Linked DNA regions of Schizosaccharomyces pombe. The protein of the gene in region 4 purifies or fractionates together with the protein of the main gene of each other region. This does not show direct contact. Each region holds a gene or a part of one and is shown on either strand. Other genes may lie near its edges. The genes, in order: mrm202, irc3, mcm7 and pfh1.

Region 1 (4,639 bases), on a different chromosome or scaffold from region 4:
TTATGAGTATTACATGGTATACATATGAAACTGTTAGTAAAATGCTTCACGATCTTTAAATTAAGAGTCGTCTTGTCAATTTCAAAATGATGCTACCCAACATACCCCTACTATTGAAATATACTACAGATATCATATTAGAAATTTTTGTAAATTAATAATGATTTTATGCATAAGAACCCGAACTTTCCCGGATACAACATAGTCAAAGAATGAATAGCAGTAGGCTCAAGCAGCATTCATTAAGTCATACATTTCTTTAAATTAGAAGCTTAAATGGATACATACTAACTTTCCTCTTAAAAATATCAACAAGGAAACTATAACCAATCCAAAGGAATGCCAACCATATTATAACGAACAAAGTTTGGCGTTTGGCTCCTTCGACTTTAGGAGCAACGATTGCAAGGAAGATGGAAGACATGGTTAAAGCGGTATCTAAAAATGTTAGAGAATCACTTTAAAATTTTAACGACAAACTTACACAATAGGGAAACAACTTGAACTTCAGCACCAAATTGAAATTGTTGAGAACCAGCAAGCCAAAGGTTTTCACCGTGTTCACCACGTTGACTATAAGGACTGAAACGAATGCGAGTAAACATGTAACCACTACTTAAAGTAATAACGGTGATAATGGTTAAGGCGGCCCAAACTTTGCGACTTGTAAAGATTTTGACAATAATTTTACGGGTAAAGAATAAAGCAGCTCCAACGATAATATAGGAAAGAAAAGCACCAACCCGTTTGGCTTGATCTTGCTTATATACAATATCGGCGATTTTCCCAGTATGCTTTTCTACAATAGCAGCAAGATGAGAAGCAGTGACACTAAGTAAGTTAGTTTTTTTATTTCTTCAAAAAAACTAAAAATAGTACGGCGAATTACTAAAAAAAAGTATTCGCAAACAAACAATTTCGGAGGAAAGATGAGTGTTTGGACTTACCCATGGCTTAAGTCTACGTGGATAGCTTGAATAGATTTTGGTTTAAAAATCCAAAAATTAGGGACGCTTTCAATGGAAAACTATGAGTACAATTAGTATTGATAAAGTTGGGAAAATTTACAAGACTGCATCACATACGTCCTGAAAAAGATTCTTATTCTTTCCAAAATCAGCGTAGGTAAAACGTATTCCACTGTCAAGACCATATTTTAACTTGTACGAATTAGCAAGCGCTTTAAATTCCGGTTCAATGAGACTAACAACGTTAGAAAATAAATCAACTTAATATAATATTTTCTGAGCTTACCGACAAACATCACAGTTCATGGTAGAGGAATCGGCTGAGAAAAGAGCTACTGTGGTGAAATCTTGTTTTCCATTTACGATTCGATGAAACAATCTGCCGGTAATTTGAATAACTCCATCAGCATCCGTTTTTGAATTTAAATCTAATTTTGCAAAGCATGTAATTACAAAGAGGGAGAAAAACGAGAGGATTTTGAAGAAATTCATCTTGCCTTCAATAGTTTGTCCTTGGCAGCCTCATTTCTGCTTAATGGCTGCCCCCGCTAAGCAAACCGTCGATGCGCAGAGATTCGTTATATTTGTTACCTATGAAGTTGCAATTCATTAAACAAACTTAAGAGATTTCAAAGAATAAACAGAAAGCTTTTGATTTCTTGGGATTAGTTAAATAAATTTTCTTTCTATTAAAGGTTTAATAATATAAGTTATTATCATTAGCTTTAGAGTATATTATAATTTTTTACTTCCAGGGACTAATTACTTTATAGTTTGTAAATATATTTTGTTTATATTTGCCATTTACTCCAAATATACCTGCAGTCGATCCATAATAATAGTTTATAATTCTTGCCAGACATTTAATATTTTCGTATATATTTACGTTGTTCCGCAACCATAGTCTCCTCGATCAAAAAGCATTTCTTTACTAACAAACTCACCTGGTCAACAATTTTTTATACCTTTTTTTTCCTAATTTATCAAAATCTCCTAGTCAAGTTTTTACATTGCCCATGAATTATTATATGTTGATATTTACTATCAGTGACTATTCATGTTAGATAATGCTTTCCACAAAATAATATGTCTATGAGAATTTGGAGTAGAAGTTCCTCTGCTTATTCGGCCATAGCCAGAAGTTCTTCTTGGTTTAACAATTCTCTCTTTTCAAGTTGTTTATTACGTTTTTATTCCAACCCTCCTAAAAAGACAAAAAAGAATACTTTAATATCTCTGAGAAAGTCAGCTGAGACAGCAAATGAAAAATTCATTGAGAAAGTAAGTTCAATTGTTAAAAGGGTCCCGTCGAAATGTCAACAGACGTCCGTTGCAAGGTATTCTTAGGAGCATACTGCATCTAAGAAACTGTCGTACATATTCCGTATATCTGCTGAACTTTTCAAGGTTCAATTAATATTTTTCTATGGAGTTGTTTATTGCTAACTATTAAGATAAACAAAGAGCATCAGCTTTTCAAACCTGGTCAGATTGTTGTTGATTTGGTAGGTAAATGGTCAAATTTTTATACGCAACTAATCAATTTAGGGTTGTGCACCTGGAATATGGAGTACAATAGCTGCTCGACATGTTGGTTTGTTTGGTAGAGTTATTGCATGTGATATAATTCCTTGTAGGCTCCCTGAAAACTCCAGTATGATTCAAGGTAATATACTAAGTATGGAAATTCAGCTTGAAATAGCTAAGGCAGCCATTCGTAGTCGAAACTCTTTTTTTCGAAATCAACAAGATCATAATTCTGCTTCTATTCCCTACTTGCAGTCAGTCTTTGAAGAAGAAAGAGATACAAAAGAGAAAGCCAAAATTGAAGATTTGTCAGCAGATGTTATAATGAGTGATTTAGGTCCCCCATTTCCAATGGTTCAGGGATTCGAATTTTGGATTTCAAAATTACCTTATTTAGCTATGCAAACTAATGAGCATTTAGCAGTTAAGGACGAGTTGGATTCGCTTTATCTTGCCCAGGCAGCTTTATTATTTGCCATAAAAGCACTGAAACCAGATGGAATTTTCCTTTGTAAAGTATTGGAAAGTTCACATTTACGAAGTTTTGCTGAGGATTTATCTATGTGCTTTAAATGTGTAAAAAAAATTCAATTTAAAACTAAAATTAAAGATGAGCTATATGCAGTTTATTTTTGTTCCGGGAAGCAGCTGTCATGTCATTCTAAGCTTTTGAACATTTAAAGGTTTTAGTACATAGTTTGTTGATAAGAGGAACATTCTTTCCCTTTTCCTGAACTTATTTGTCGTGGATTTTTGTGTTATTCTCATCTAGAGAAAACAGATTTTCGAGCGAAGCGTTGTTCATTGCTTTGTCTATGATTTTTGTCATGTACAATTGCATTTCTTTCATGGAGTGCTTTAAATCATTTAACTCTTCTTCTAATTTTAGAATTTTAGACTTATGGTTGCCGGAAATTTCTCTAAGTAATTCCTTCTCTGTTTGCTTATATTCCTCTTTTAACCTTGGATCATCGGTGTCCGAGACGGCCTAATGAGAGCAGTCAGACCTTGCATTATACTAAATATAATCATACCATTTGAAGTACAGCTGCTTGAAGATTTTTATTGCTGTTACTGAGTCTTTCAATTTCTTTTATATAGCCCTCAATTTTTCTATTACAGGGATTTTGGAAAGTATTATTCACCCCAACAGACCTTTTGGAGTATGTCCTTAAACCTGGATCAATGTTTTCGTCAACAATTTTGAAATTTTGCAACTTTTCATAATAATCTACATCTTCAATATTTAAATCTTTAACGTTTTCTGTTTCAATATTATAGAGGTTTTGGTTTAAGGGGTCGGATTGAGAATCCAAATAACTATCCCTATTGGGATGAATGCTTGAAGATAAGTTTATTATTTCCGTATTTTCCTTTAAAAAGCGGTCTTGCATTTTTAAAATGAAGTTTGTTGAGGATACGTTATGTTTACTCTATGTGACAAATGTAAACAACTTAAACGGAACATTCGAAAAATCATAAGGATCTTCGTGAACCTGTCAAGTAATTCAGAAGATAAACTATATTTTATCAAAAAATAACAATCAAATTATATTTCATGTAAGTATATCCCATATGCAAAGAATTAAAAGAACAGAACAACACAATTGTCAAAAAGTATTCTAGCAAACTTAATGACTAATGAAAATTTACAAACAGATTAAAAAAAGAATAATTAACGTTAAATAATTTTGTAGAGACTGTCAATGGTCAACTGAAGGCAACATTTCGTGTTAGTCCAAATAGTCCCAATTCATCCAAACAATGACTTACGCAGACACTAAAAAAGAATCCGGGTATTTGTAAAGTTGCCAAATAAGCATAACCATCGTAAAAAAACTTGCAATACCCACTGGCACGACAGCAAAAACGGTGATCTCTAAAAAATCGAGATTGTGTCGATAATTGGAAGATGAACTGGATGAGGAACGAAAAGGAAGTGTTCTAATTATGGGAGAGGTGATCCAATCTTGAACTATGTAGGCTGCAGTCTGGAAACAAGAGATAGCAATCCAGGCTGGAAGTAAATAAGCGTTGTCGCCATGTGTAATAAAACTAACGCTTAATGATAGGAATGAAAAATTTATCACGTTGAGTGAAAAGAGCCTTATAATGGTAGGTCCAATTGAGTAATGGATCAGCCT
Region 2 (4,611 bases), 200 kb from region 4:
ATGAAAAAATAAACGCGAAGAGTCCCACTACCAATTCTGTTACAGATGTAGCCAAAGATCAAACTGTCACAAACCCTAAAAAACGAAAGTTTGAAGTCACTGATTTAGCGCGAGGATCACGACCTGCAATAGGGCCAATTGCAGTCCTTGATATGACGGTTTCTTCTGGTTTCTACGTTCGCTCTTTAATTCATGATTTGGGCCGACAAGTAAATAGTGAAGCACACATGGTCGATCTTGTGAGATTGAAACAGGGGTCTTTTGCACTAGACGATGAAAACTGCTTTGATTTTTCAGAATTTTCAGCTCCAGGCTGGGAGGAAAAACTCGCAGCAGCGTTCAAAATCGACCTGAAAGGAGACGAAACAAGCTGAAGCAGTCTTAATATATATACCAGTAATATACTTTTTAGATAAGGACATTCATATTTTCTTTAAAAGCATATAATAGACATTTCTTTTCCACTCCAAGCAAATATTATCACTGGTACAGTGAAGAAAACGATTTTTATGAAGAACACTGAAACCATCAACCCTTTAATTCCTTCAATGTAGTAATACGCTTTAAATTTGCGTCGTGTTTCAGATAACTTTGTAGCTTATCTGTTCTAACTTGTCGACCTTTTCCTCCATAAATTACTTTAGTAATCATATCAGCTGCAACACCTGCTGTCAAGAGTTTTTCATCTAGTTTTAAATTTGATTTTTTCAAGAAGTTTATTTGTCTAACAGACGCGGGTCTCATTCTCCACACTGCTTTACGACTAATAAGAGAACGAGGTGTTTTCAAATTGGAAATGTATGTTTCCGCTGCCCTTATCGCGAATTTCAAGGAAGGTATGCGATCGGATACAATACGTTTTCGATTATACACTCGAGTCCCTAATTTCTCTTTCGTATATTCAGATATCTTATGTGTCCCATCTTCAAAATTTGTATCAATTATCAACACCTTTTGTAAAAAGCTCAAGACATATCGACCCATACCGACAGCAACCCAAGCATTAGTAGATAAATTGAAAATGCTCCTATCTTTGTTTTTAATGTTATCCATCATTTCTATCAACTTCCGTAATTTGCTGTACCACAAAACAGATTGTAATCCATAAATTTTAGGATCATAATCAGGGTTCGCAAGGGAATTCTTTGATTTATTATAAAAGTTTTCAACTTCATCGGGGGAAAGACCAGCTAAAGTAGGGTCAACATGTAGACTGACTCTTCTTAAAGAATCACAAAAATCTAATATTAGACAATCTCTTTTTCCCTCATGCAATCGCAATCCCCTACCAATCATCTGTGTAAGTAAATTTGGAGAACTTGTAGGCCGAGCGATCATTAAACAATCAATATTAGGAATATCGGTCCCTTCAGTCAACACCATGCAATTAACAAGGACAGGAAATTTCTTTTTTCGGAAATCTTGGATTAAAGTTTCACGTTCCGAATCATTAGTTTCCCCAAACAAAGCTCGGGCATCAATACCTAATTTTCGAAATGCATTACAAACTTTTAATGAATGCTCTACATTTATGCAAAACACCAATGTAGATGAGCGGTTACCTAAAAGGAAATTAATATAGAGATAACTATATTCAGCTTACTAGCATGTTCGAGCCAAGCTCTTGGAATTTCGAATATTGCCTTTTCTGATTGTGCCTCCTTTTTTAACTTCTCTTGGTCCAAGAAGCTAGACGAATCAGCTAACACAAGATCTGTAGACCACTTTATGTTTATGACTTTTGGTTCAACAAGCCTTAACATTGGGAGTTAGGAAGAGTACCTATAAATATGACACACTTACCAGTTATCTTTGATCATGTCCACGAAATGTCTATTTATTAGCATTTGAACGTTCTACTGTTAGCATTACCTGTGATAAACAATCTCATCTAGGCCACAAGCCAACCCTTTTCCGTCTGCTCTGAAAAGAGTCGCAGTAAGTCCTATCACATTCACTTTCGATTTTTCCGATTCTGCGCCAAAATGCTCAAGGATTCGTAAGTACGAAGGAGACGCCATATGGTGAACTTCATCAAAAATTAAAAGTTTAAAATTGAGAGGATTATATTTAAGTAGTCTTTCATTTTTTAAAGAAAAAACTGACGCAACGGTAACATCAGCCAGTCCGGATGCACACTGATTGCCCATATCAATCTCAATAGACTATGGCAAAGTTAGTAAACGAAACAGCGTGGAATCTATTTGGAAAAAGAACGGTACCTTATTCGGAAGGCTTTCTCGGCAATGCTTGAGGGCCTGTAAAGCTAACTCCTTTCTGTGAACCAAAATTAGACATTGCTCAGAGTTTGGCCTTAAAGTAGGTGCATATTTTATAAAGTGGGGAAACAATGCCTTTAGACGTGTTAATATTGCAGTCAGTAGTAGAACAGTAATACCGTTTTACCAGAGCCTGTAGCTAATGAAACAGCAATTCGACGTTTACCTTCATCAAAAGCGTTTAAGCAGGCACTGAGGCATTCTTCTTGATAAGGACGAAGTTTAAGAGCAAATCTTCTAAATATAGTTGAACCATTTCTTGGCCACAAATTCTTTTTGCAACATGCGTTTAGTAGCATGTCTACGGCAAGATAATCTCTGACACAAAAATAATTTTATAACTATAGAATACAGCAATGGATAAGGGCATAAAATGGCTTAGTTAAAATAATTTGTCAGAGCATAAATTAGCATGACATGCAGACAATTAATTATTACTTACTTTTATTGACTTACAAAGGCTAACTAAGATATAAAATTTGAAAGTTCTATAAACATTATAGAAAAAAAAATTTTAAATTTTAGCAATTTCATAATATATGCAAATAATTTACTACCAACCTTATGTCCAAGCATTGGTATAGTATCAATAACTCAAGCAAATTATTCCCCAAGTTGTAAACAAATCACTTACAGATAAATAAATACGGGTGGATTTAAAATCCGCTTCTTTTCTTTTTCTTTTTGGAAGGACGAGAACCATATTTGCCACTAACGACTTGTGACATTATTGGGATAGTTTGGCTAGAACTCTCCGAGTATAGCGATGAAAAATTAGGAACATCTTCTTGAGAAAAGACTGTCGCAATTTGGCTTGAGGGAAGTACAGAAGACTGCTGTTGTGAAATGTAGAAATCACTAAATTGGCTAGATGATGGATCCTCCGTTTCGACAGCGCTATCACCAATGACATAAGTTGAAGATATCTTTCCAATCTCCCAATTCTCCAAAATATTTCTAACATCTTCATTCAGCTCCAGGCCTTCCGTATCATAAAAAGGTTTGATAAATGTAAGCAAGTCGGTTGAATCGATTTCCTTTCGAGACAATGATGGATCAAATATTTTTTCCCTGGAGACTCCTATAGAAGAAAGAAATAAATAGTGAATAACATTTTTTATAGATCTTCTTTGAGAAGACTGAAAGCAAGGAATTTCGACAGACTTATCAGTATTAGATTCCCAGCGCCTGTGTATTAAACTAGCAATTGAGTCCACGGAAGTATAAAAGAAAGAAGCATTGTTGTAGTTAATACCAAACATATAAGGAAAATAAAATGATAGTTCTGTACCTTCTAAATGACTTATGATCTCAGCTACATTAGTAAAGGTTCCTTTCAAAGGAAATCCGTCATATAACTCACTCAAAGTTATTATAACATCGTGATTGATAGAATCAAAAGCTTCTACAAAATCCGGAACTTTGCTAGCGAATTCATCAAGGGTGATAGTATTCTTTTTGTTCCTATTAGAGCACAAAACATGGTATAACCGTGACAGTGATAATTGTTGAAAATCGGAATTCGGAGTGCTTATTATTTCTTGATCATTTGCCGAATCATCTTCACTAGTGTTTACAGAAGGGGTGATAGTTTTAAATTTCATAGCAACTTGGCTAGAACCAGTAAGCTCCTCTAAATTATATATTTTAAGAGAACTTTTTTCGCAAAGAATATGTAAGGAAAGAGATCCGTCAGCCTTATCAATTATTGCAGACCAAAAAGGTGAATCAAAAGGACCTTGTCTGTCAAATTCAGATGACTCAAAAAAATAACAAGGTTGTATAATGAGGGATCTTATGGGAACCTGAACCTCATTTAATAATAGAAATGGATGACTACCTGATACAGGTAGAGCTCTGTCTTTTGAAAAATGAATTTGTTGGACAACACCATTCATTTGAGAATAAACAGAGACATAGATGTTTTGAGAAAAAGTAGCGGTAACCGTAATTTTCAAAGTAGGATCTAATTTTCTATTATGTTTCCATTCAAGTAGCGGCTTCTGAGGATGTTGAATATCCATCCACAAGACGGACTCGGTAGTTAAAATGAAAAACTCAGATTTAATAGGCATAGATTCATTTACCACTTGTAGAATCCTAACATCTGAACTGCAGTGGAATAAAAGATGGAAATCAGGTACCTCCCCAAGAGACACATGAAGAATAAAAAAAGCATTATGCAAAATGACACCGCCAAAATACTCTTCCCATTTAGCTCTATATATTGTATTATCGGGATTTATTTCTTCTTCGTGATAAGCAATGGAACTTGTTGGTGCAGAACATAATGCTTGTTGCAAAGACTCTTTGAAAGAACTACCGAAGCATT
Region 3 (4,642 bases), 150 kb from region 4:
ATTTGATTCTTACGGAGAAGTGGATCCGGCAAACTAGTTATAATGGAATTAATCAGTATTAAAAAGACGTTAAAACAAAGTAAGTTATTTAAAATGGAATGCCCATTTCTTGACACCAATGGGTATCCAAAGTTGGTTGCTCTAAGGAAGTGCGTAAAGTTCTATTCGCAATTTACTCGGCATGACAGCAGGAAGGGTGGGACAGCAGTGATGAACAAGTTAAAGGTGTAAAATAATGCTAAATGTCAAGAAATAAAAACTCATTACTCATTCCTACGACTCGAGCATATTGACACGTATCTTAAGGTTTTATGGTCCTTCCAAATCTAACGAAACATATTGGCTTAATATATCTTCCTTTCAATTGCGTGAATTAACATTTGAATACAAGTAAATAAACTATCATAGATTAAAAGAACGACAGATGTATTAGTCAGAATTAAAGAATATTCAACAGAAAAGTAGTTTGACGTCTCAGAATAATTTCTATAGGTTGTAAATTAGCTTAAAGCAATTAATTGGCAGAAAAATTAAATGATAGGAGTTATCTATTAGTAAATTGTTAATTCTCCATATGTAAATCCGGATCGAGGAACATTATTGTTTGACCATTGTTTGTAGTTAAAAGAACACCAAGGTCTGTATATTCCTGTATTGTATTTATTAAATGATCTTCAGTAAAACCCTTAGCAAGTACGCGTTCACGAATAGCACGTAGTGTAAGTGAGCGTTCATTGCCTTCAACATCTGGTATGCTATTAAGCATGTCTCGAATAATTTTATATATTTTCGAGGTAATAGTAGTATCGTGAGAACTAGGATCCAAATCATCGTATAGTGATGACTTTGAAACAGACATTAATCTCAAAGCTTCATCAACATCGCCAATCTCCACTCTATTACTGAAACGCAAACGAGCTAATGCTTGTCCCATTCGCAAAATAGCGAGAAGTGTACGTGGAGTAGTGTGAGCGAATTGACGCTCATTGGCTTCATCACGCTTTTGGTTTTGTCGAAGTTGAACATAAGCACCAGTAACATAGTCGCATACATCCTTTGGTACGACTGGGCGATATTGTCTAGCAGAAGAAATATAATGCCTAATCATGTTTGGATCTAATGGTTCAAAGTCCATTTTAGGTTGTTCGTTATGCATGTGAACATATGTTACGTGTTGTGCCAAATGCTCGTCTGTTTCACGAGAAGGAGTATCTAAAATTAAAAATAAAATATCAAACCGGGAAAGCAGTGCAGCTGGAAGATTTATATTGTGGATTGGTGCCACTTTCGGATTATATCGTCCATATAAGGGGTTCGCAGCGGCCAAAATACTTGTTCGAGCATTTAAAGTCGTAGTGATTCCTGCCTTTGAAATTGAAATAGTTTGCTGTTCCATTACTTCATGAATTGCTGTACGGTCACTTTCATCCATCTTATCAAATTCGTCAATGCAGCAAATACCGTTGTCAGCAAGTACTAAGGCACCTCCCTCTAAAACCATTTCATCCGTCACTGGATCACGCATTACAGCAGCAGTTAAACCAACACCTGAAGATCCACGACCTGTGGTGTATACTCCTCTCGGGGCAACCTTCGAAATATACTTTAATAATTGAGATTTTGCGACACCAGGATCACCAGTTAAACAAATATTTATGTCACCACGAATTCTCATTCCATCCCCTAACTCTTTAGTAACACCTCCGACAAGCAACAGAAGTAAAGCTTTTTTAACATCTTCATGTCCATATATCTCGGGAGCAATGGACTTGGCCAGTTTTTCGTACACATTGCCTCCTTGATTTAATTCAGCGATAGCAGCCTCCGATTGAGGAGTTTTTTCAATATTTGTGTAATTTTTAATGATTTGTGAAACATAATGGCATTCTAAGTAAGTATCGGTTAAGAGCCCGGCGCGCATTGCTCGAAAACCAGTATACGGAGTCGGCAAAAATATACCAGAAATATCAACGATATCGCCAGGATTTACAGAGCGAGTGATAGCACCATATAAGTGGACGGTTAATGATCTAGGGATATGGCCAATAGGTACTTGGTTCGTTAATTCTTGTATTTTTACTTCCTGAAAAGGAAGAAATTTACTGGCTCTTGTGCTCATGAAAAGCTGACCTTTTGCATCATTCTTTTTACATTCATCCGAAGGACATTCAGACATTGGAAGGAATGTCTTCTGACGGATTTCTTGAAACACTTCATACCCACATCGATCACATGTATAAGCATTTACAGTTAAGCTAGGCTTAACATCACTTGTACGAGTAACTATACCACGGACAGTCAAAAGAGATCCCAAGTTTTCGCCTCTTAAATCACGAACGCTGAATGGTTTTTTGTTGCGAGTTACTGGTCGAAAGTATAAGTCATAACCTCGGGTTAATTCAGGAGGAAATCCTTTATGCTCAGGGTCTATATTTTCATTCCTTTGAACACGTTGCTGCATAATTACATCAAGTACTTCGTTGCGATAATTAATTTCCACAGTAGGAGGAGGCATCAACGCATCTGCGCACTGCGAAAAAAGTTCAACAAACCGTTTAGCATTAGATTCAATATTATGCAAAAGCTGAGTATCACTTGGATCGAACTCGTACAAATCATTCAAATCAACATTAATAACATTTGACTCTCGATTGGAGATTTTTTGTAGTATATCCATATACTTTGATTTTAAAAAAGGCTCATCACCTGCATCCGACATCGAAATATCCTGATTTTGTTGTCCATCTTGAACCTGTTCCTGCTTGAAGTGGGATAGAAAATCCGTAATTTTATGTTGACATTCTTCATACTCTGGGATTTTTAAATCTATGGTGGGAAGTGCCATGCTTTTCAAACCAAAAAAGTATCCCAAAACTTTTCTGCTGAATTAGCAAAAAATATAAAGGTTCAAAAAGAAAGCAAGGGTATTAAGTAAGGGTAAGATACCAAGAAAGGTTCTTCTTTAGGTTGTTTTAGTTAGTTGGTAGTATGAATCAACGCGAACTCGTAAGGTAACAAAAATGTAAATATTGTAACTTAGGGCATATACAAATTGTCATTGACTCTAAAGAAATTGCAGTGTATAATTTTTTTGATTCTCTACATATTTCCTTTTTAATTTATTACTCTCGCAGCAAAAGTAAACATTCAGTTTGATTTTAAAAGCCACTATGTAGTACTGTTAGAAATTTTTTTTGGAGAGTATTCACTATGTATAAATAAACAGTTTATTTGTTTTAAATTAATAATAATCATTTTGCCAGACAATAAATTGGTCATTTTATTTTCATAAATGTATGTCTAATTGTTTTCATTGCTTCAATCGATTGTTATTTTAGCTATCCATAATTTTTCCTATTTTTCTTCTACACGTTTTGTATTTCTAAACATGAGAGTTATTTAGACTACTGCCTAAAATTTATTTCACTTTTATTTTTAAAAATTTTTTTGAAAACTTATGAAGTAAGTTAGCAGGGAAATTCTCAAAAGAAATGCGATATCAACAATATAAAAACTTCGAGTAGGGAACTTTTTATTTTTTGTTCGGTTATTTCAAACATCAGTGAAGAATGAATATAGAAAATTCTTTATTGTTTTATACCACATTGTAAACTGTACCTAAAAGCACAACACGCAATAGAAACGTGCTATTGGAATGCTTATTTATTTTCTGTTTACAATAGACGAATATAAGTATTTCTTTTTTTTTTTACGAAAGGATCAAGGTATTAAAATTATTCACAGTATGTGGCTAGGTCTCTGTCGCGCTTATCTTTTTTTAATTAAGCAATGTCTTTATGTACGGTCGCGTCGCATTAGAAGTTTCGTGATTTGTAATATTTGAGCAGTTATAAAGCGCTCTACATCTCGGATGAAAAGGAGATTGTGAAGAGATATTTATTTCTAACATCATATCGTACTACTAGGCTGATATCATTGCGTTTCATCTACAACATAAATTGAGGTACCCTGACGCGTCTTAAGTATTACACTGAAAACTACTTTATTAAATTATAACAAAAAGTGAGAAATTTAATAATTTATTTATTACATAAAGTAATAAATTCATTTCTATTTTTTCAATTATTTGAGCCTAAATAATTGAATTTATTCGACTCCACGCTTAGCATCGAATTCTTCGATTTAAGCTATCACATTTTTCTATTAACTAGCTACAATTTCCTGCTTTAAGAAACCGTTATTATAACACACCAGAAGGGAAAGGAAGTAAGCCCTTGCTTTTCCCATTTAATTTGAGATTGTCTTCGAATTTATTTCATTTTTTTTACTCGTTGCGTTTGTCTCCAAATATTAATTAGTACATTGTTTTTTTTCAACGTTATTCATCTCCATCAGCCTTTGACTTAGTTTAACTGCAATTTTCCACTCTGTAAAATAAGGCAGCATTTTGTCTATTTTGCCTTCACTCTTATTCATTGTGTTATCATACCCAAAGTGCGACAAATTAACATCCACAAAAAAAACGGTGGTGTTGAATATACTACAATACTGTGCACTACATTGGATAACCTACCTTTGAAAGTTTTGCCATTAACCACAACACATCTTGGGAAGCCACATCGCAAGAGATAATCGCGGTGGAAGAAAACTTTTGTACTTATTCTATATACAGATAAATCCG
Region 4 (5,439 bases):
TTATTACTTGTTGTTTTAAAAGGTTCCTTATTGGTTTCATCGTTTTTCAATTGTTTGTATAAATCACATTTCTTGCCGTTTGTGATTTGTATATATTGTACCAACTGTTTTCTTTCTTCAGTCTAGACACATAGATATATATTCGCATATATATAACTAATCAGCTTCTCTCTTTTCTTACACTTTCACTTAACTTTTTGCTATATTTTCGAATTTGAATTTTTCTTGCCACTATGGTTACCACCGTTGAAATGTTAACTACCTGGAACCCAGTGACCGTTTCCTTGGTTTCTCCTGTCATCATTTACTGGGTTGCTTCTGCTTTCTTCGGATTTTTGCATTACATTGAATTACCTGTCTTTGAGAAGTATCGCATTCATCCTCCGGAGGAGATAGCCAGACGCAACCGTGTTCCTCAGATGGCTGTTGTTAAAGCCGTGCTTTTCCAACAACTTTGCGAAGTCGTCGTTGGAATCGCATTGGCCATGTTCGAGGGCTATCCTGAACCCATTGACGAGGCTAAGCAAATGTTACGCTACGAGGCTTTCTTCAGCAAGAATTTGCCTGCTTTGTTACAAGTTGCTCCCTTTGCCCCTAAATTGGCTTATAACTTTATTGTTCCCGCATTCCAATACTTCTTTGCTTTCTTCATCATTGACAGCTGGCAATACTTCTGGCACCGTTACCTCCACTACAACAAGAAGCTCTACAACATGATTCATGCCCATCACCATCGTCTCCAAGTTCCCTATGCTATGGGTGCCCTTTACAACCATCCCTTTGAAGGTTTGATTTTGGACACTTTTGGCGCTGGTGTTGCTTATCTCGCCGCCGGTCTTTCTCCTCAACAAGCTGTTATTTTCTTCACCCTTTCTACCTTGAAGACTGTTGATGATCACTGTGGATACGTATTCCCTTATGACCCTCTTCAAATGTTCTTTGCCAATAATGCTCGTTACCATGACCTTCATCACCAACCTTACGGTTTCCAAAAGAACTTTAGCCAGCCCTTCTTTACCTTCTGGGACCACGTTTTGGGAACTTACATGCCTCCCAAGTCTGAAACTCCTTACGAGAAAAAGCAAAAGGCTAAGAATGCAAAGAAGGTTAACTAGAAATTACAAAAGTACATGTGCTCTGTGATATTTGCATTTTTTGAATCTTTCTTATCCTTAGTACTTCTGCTGAATCCAATATACTGTTTTTTTTATATTGAGTTATAAATGTTTACTATTAATTTTTTCTCATTCTTTCTAGTTTCTTTGTTTGCTATTTTCATTTTTTTTGAAATTTTATTAATCTAATTGTTCTTCCTTTTAAATTTGTCGGTAGTACAAATCGATTGGCAATCCTTACTGTTGAAGTTATCCCTCCTATGACTCTAGGTATTTGTGATAACCGTAACCTTGTATTTTTATGTTATTTTCCACTTCTAAAGTCTCTTTAAAACGGGATGTTTGACACGGACTGCTGAAGAACACGATACTTACCTAAAGATGCATGTTTTTGTGTATCTTTACCAAAGTTGGTTGGTCAACGAATTTAAATCGTTTGTCGCTCATTATTGAATTTTCGACTTAGTATTGATTGTTTTAGTCTACATACAGTATATAATTTATTAATTGATAGCATTTATTATTTACAGACTTCCGAGGATATGGTATCGTAGACGCGTTTTATCAAATATTATAAAATTAATAACTTACTGTAAACACGGGTTAATATTTGCTTCGATTGTAACATATTATAACAAAAGTCAATTTATTTGCATTGCATTGCATAGGCCCCGAAAGCAAATTATGCAAGTTATACTTAAGGAACGACTAATGTAAAAAGGACTTTATGATAATTACAGTATTGAATGATAAAAAATTTGTGCAAAAGTTGTGAAGTAAAAAACACGTGCCTGGTGGTGACAGACGTGACGCGTCTTGACATACGCGCTTTCATTTGTCTCGTCCACTACCACCGTAAATTTGATTTTTATTAGTATAGCGCTTTCATTTCTGTACCTCCTTGTCAACAGCCGTTTCCTCGACATTGACAAATTTCTTCAACCGGTATCCCAATTAATACAATCAACAAAGGGATACTTCCAACTCTTATGTGCTTGGACCGCTTATCATAGGTGTTAGGTCGAGGTCGCATAAGTCAGTAGCAGATTGTTGTTTAAATTCAAACTGAAATTGTTTTCTTGTTGCTTTTCTTCGATCAAACAATTTTGGGTGATCTATTTCGTTTACGGTTTCTTTTTTTAGACAACCTGCGTACAGATCGCCTTCCAGTTTCTTGAAGTAATTCGATGAATGTTTTCGTGCCAATCTCTTTATAAATTTAGTCACTCTTTTAGGAAACGTATCCCCGTCATGTTTCAAAGAGCTCAGCAGAAAAGCAGCTTGCTTCATACACAAAACGAGTCATCGCATCAACCCTCCTTGAACAAATTGGGCGGTTTTTCGTCCGCTTCTTTAAACTTCAATTCCTCTCGCTCCTCTACTAATGATGATCAGCAAACATTTTCTAGCCAGTCTGATAACCTTCCGTCATCTCCAATAACCCTACCAGCCAAAAGAGGTCGTTCTGCTGCTAGCTTAAAACAACTTGATAACACCGTGGGATTCGATGTTTCGAAACCCTCACTGCCCGTTTTTGAAAATTCTGGCTTGGGTAGTAAATACTCCACTGAAATAGCGAATGGCGTCTATATTGATGAAAATGACTTTGATGATGATCTACTTTTAGAAAACGATATTGACCAAAAACCAATTCCTTGGTCTTCATCCCCTATCGAGCATACTAAGTTAACTAAATCAATGCTCTCGAGCGAAAAGCGGTCAAAAAATCATCTCTCAAAAATTTACGAAGACCATACTTCTGAAAAAGGCGCAAGTAGCGTAATATCTAGTAATATTACGAGGCAGGGAATAAAACGCTCACGAACCCTTCCTTGGGCAGTGGATCCTTACAGATATGGAGATCCTGATCCTAAAAGAACCAGCACTTCAGCTGATATCAGTCAACACACTGTATCTAATGATTCTTCAAATAAGCTTAGCAATGGACGAAGCAGTTCTTTGGATAGTCTGGCTAAAAAACGCATGAGTAAATCTAAGTCTACCCCACAGATATCTAAAAAATTTTCTGTTCCTTTAAACTCTGCTTCCAAATCGCCAATAGGATCTTCTTTGTTTAAGACAAGTGATTCTCGTAAAAAATCTGTCCCTAGCATATTCCTTTCCGATGAGCAAAAAAGAATTTTAGACATGGTTGTTGAGCAACAACACAGTATATTTTTTACGGGCTCTGCTGGAACAGGTAAATCTGTTCTCCTCCGAAAAATAATTGAAGTCCTAAAATCTAAATATAGAAAGCAATCTGACAGAGTTGCTGTTACCGCTTCTACAGGCTTGGCAGCCTGTAATATCGGCGGTGTAACACTTCACTCCTTTGCTGGGGTAGGCCTTGCTCGTGAATCTGTCGACCTCCTGGTATCTAAAATAAAGAAAAATAAGAAGTGTGTTAATCGTTGGTTGCGCACCAGAGTTTTGATCATTGATGAAGGTAAACAATTTAAGTGAGTTTATATTTACTAATAACTATAGTTTCTATGGTCGATGCTGAATTAATGGACAAGTTAGAAGAGGTTGCGCGTGTTATTCGCAAAGATAGTAAGCCATTTGGTGGAATTCAGTTGGTTTTAACTGGGGATTTTTTTCAGTTACCTCCTGTTCCAGAAAATGGGAAAGAATCGAAATTCTGTTTCGAATCTCAGACATGGAAAAGCGCACTTGATTTTACAATAGGATTGACTCACGTTTTTCGGCAAAAGGATGAGGAATTTGTCAAAATGCTTAATGAATTGCGCCTCGGGAAATTATCTGATGAATCGGTTAGAAAATTCAAAGTTCTTAATAGAACGATTGAATATGAAGATGGGCTTCTTCCGACAGAGTTATTTCCCACACGTTATGAGGTTGAGCGTTCGAACGATATGCGTATGCAACAAATTAATCAAAATCCTGTCACGTTTACCGCTATTGACTCGGGTACTGTTCGAGATAAAGAATTTCGTGACCGATTACTGCAAGGGTGCATGGCTCCTGCCACTTTAGTGTTAAAGGTAAATGCTCAGGTAATGCTTATAAAGAATATAGATGATCAGTTAGTAAATGGATCTCTTGGAAAAGTTATAGGTTTCATAGATGATGAGACCTATCAAATGGAAAAAAAGGATGCTGAAATGCAGGGAAGAAATGCTTTTGAATATGATAGTTTAGACATTTCACCCTTTGATCTTCCAGACGTTAAGCAAAAGAAATATAAATTGATTGCAATGCGTAAAGCTTCATCCACGGCAATAAAATGGCCATTAGTTCGTTTTAAACTTCCAAATGGAGGTGAACGTACAATTGTTGTACAACGGGAAACTTGGAATATTGAGCTTCCCAATGGTGAGGTTCAAGCTTCTAGAAGCCAAATTCCTCTTATTTTGGCTTATGCGATATCTATTCACAAGGCACAAGGACAGACTTTGGATCGAGTCAAGGTTGATTTGGGTCGTGTTTTTGAGAAAGGGCAAGCGTATGTTGCCTTATCTCGTGCAACTACTCAAGAAGGTCTCCAGGTTCTTAATTTTTCGCCTGCGAAGGTGATGGCACACCCCAAAGTCGTGCAATTCTATAAACAACTGGCTTCTGTTAATGGTTTGCCGATACGTAATGAAAACAAGGCTCCAGTTCAAATGAGGGGAGTCAAAAATAAGTAAAAATCAATTTTTACGAGTTTACCATGTACTAAAGATTTATTCATAACGGCCTGAATATATATGGTTGAAGTGTACAGTGATTTTAGACTAATTAGGTAATTTTATTCATAGAAATAATTTTAATAATATATTCATATATTTAATTTCTTCTTTGTTTATTAAATTTGAGCTTTACATTTATTATTATTTTTCCTATGGTGCTAATTCATTTCTATAACAGCGGTATTCCTTGAGGATGTTTAATTATGTACAGGAAGTAATTGTTACAAGGCCACCTTCTAGTAATCTTTAACTATCGCATAAACTGTAATTAAACGAACAGGGTGCACCTCGCTTCAATCAGTCTCTTAACTTTAATAGCCAACACACCTTGACCATGCATAAAAACTGAACATTTAATCCACTTTCAATCAGAACTTTGAAATCGATAACATAAACACAGTTTTGATCGATTTATATACTGTTAAATTCTCGCCTCAAATACCCTGTCGAAAGAAACGACAGATAATCTATTATTATTTCCACAAAGTAATGCTAGAAAAATGAAACGTGTGGTAATAACTGGACTGGGGGCCGTAACCCCTCTAGGCAATGGAGTTAAAACCAATTGGCGAAATCTAATTCAAGGAAAATCAGGTATCGTATCTCTTAAAGGATTTCCTGAGTATGAGCAA

Evidence for each region.
Region 1: the proteins of pfh1 (region 4) and mrm202 purify together in Schizosaccharomyces pombe (affinity purification with mass spectrometry, with the first as the bait; one study listed by BioGRID). This does not show direct contact.
Region 2: the proteins of pfh1 (region 4) and irc3 purify together in Schizosaccharomyces pombe (affinity purification with mass spectrometry, with the first as the bait; one study listed by BioGRID). This does not show direct contact.
Region 3: the proteins of pfh1 (region 4) and mcm7 purify together in Schizosaccharomyces pombe (affinity purification with mass spectrometry, with the first as the bait; one study listed by BioGRID). This does not show direct contact.

What each region holds. Positions count from the first base shown.
Region 1 is NC_003424.3:1,279,951-1,284,589, reverse strand, and holds mrm202 (2' O-ribose methyltransferase Mrm2-like protein), read left to right. Parts: upstream 1-1,767; 5' UTR 1,768-2,054; coding exon 2,055-2,249; exon of another isoform or gene 2,250-2,422; coding exon 2,423-2,473; exon of another isoform or gene 2,474-2,516; coding exon 2,517-3,176; 3' UTR 3,177-3,231; coding exon of another isoform or gene 3,232-3,483; 3' UTR 3,484-3,529; coding exon of another isoform or gene 3,530-3,889; 3' UTR 3,890-4,095; downstream 4,096-4,639. Other genes in the region: mrx21 (coenzyme A/ diphosphate transporter), read left to right, coding at 1-59; oligosaccharyltransferase gamma subunit Ost3, read right to left, coding at 260-438, 485-831, 948-1,027, 1,086-1,203, 1,255-1,460; SPOM_SPAPB17E12.09 (uncharacterized protein), read right to left, coding at 3,232-3,483, 3,530-3,889; eos1 (N-glycosylation protein), read right to left, coding at 4,265-4,637.
Region 2 is NC_003423.3:3,366,643-3,371,253, forward strand, and holds irc3 (ATP-dependent DNA helicase Irc3), read right to left. Parts: upstream 2,585-4,611; 5' UTR 2,579-2,584; coding exon 2,399-2,578; exon of another isoform or gene 2,355-2,398; coding exon 2,223-2,354; exon of another isoform or gene 2,166-2,222; coding exon 1,873-2,165; exon of another isoform or gene 1,834-1,872; coding exon 1,804-1,833; exon of another isoform or gene 1,756-1,803; coding exon 1,604-1,755; exon of another isoform or gene 1,563-1,603; coding exon 529-1,562; downstream 1-528. Other genes in the region: pus4 (tRNA pseudouridine synthase), read left to right, coding at 1-374; RNA polymerase I transcription factor subunit Rrn6, read right to left, coding at 2,936-4,611.
Region 3 is NC_003423.3:3,717,076-3,721,717, forward strand, and holds mcm7 (MCM complex subunit Mcm7), read right to left. Parts: upstream 2,965-4,642; 5' UTR 2,846-2,964; coding exon 563-2,845; 3' UTR 502-562; downstream 1-501. UniProt on the Schizosaccharomyces pombe protein: Acts as a component of the MCM2-7 complex (MCM complex) which is the replicative helicase essential for 'once per cell cycle' DNA replication initiation and elongation in eukaryotic cells.
Region 4 is NC_003423.3:3,567,056-3,572,494, reverse strand, and holds pfh1 (DNA repair and recombination protein), read left to right. Parts: upstream 1-2,018; 5' UTR 2,019-2,306; coding exon 2,307-3,561; exon of another isoform or gene 3,562-3,602; coding exon 3,603-4,765; 3' UTR 4,766-4,902; downstream 4,903-5,439. Other genes in the region: sphingosine hydroxylase/sphingolipid delta-4 desaturase Sur2, read left to right, coding at 234-1,115; cem1 (3-oxoacyl-[acyl-carrier-protein]-synthase condensing enzyme), read left to right, coding at 5,308-5,439.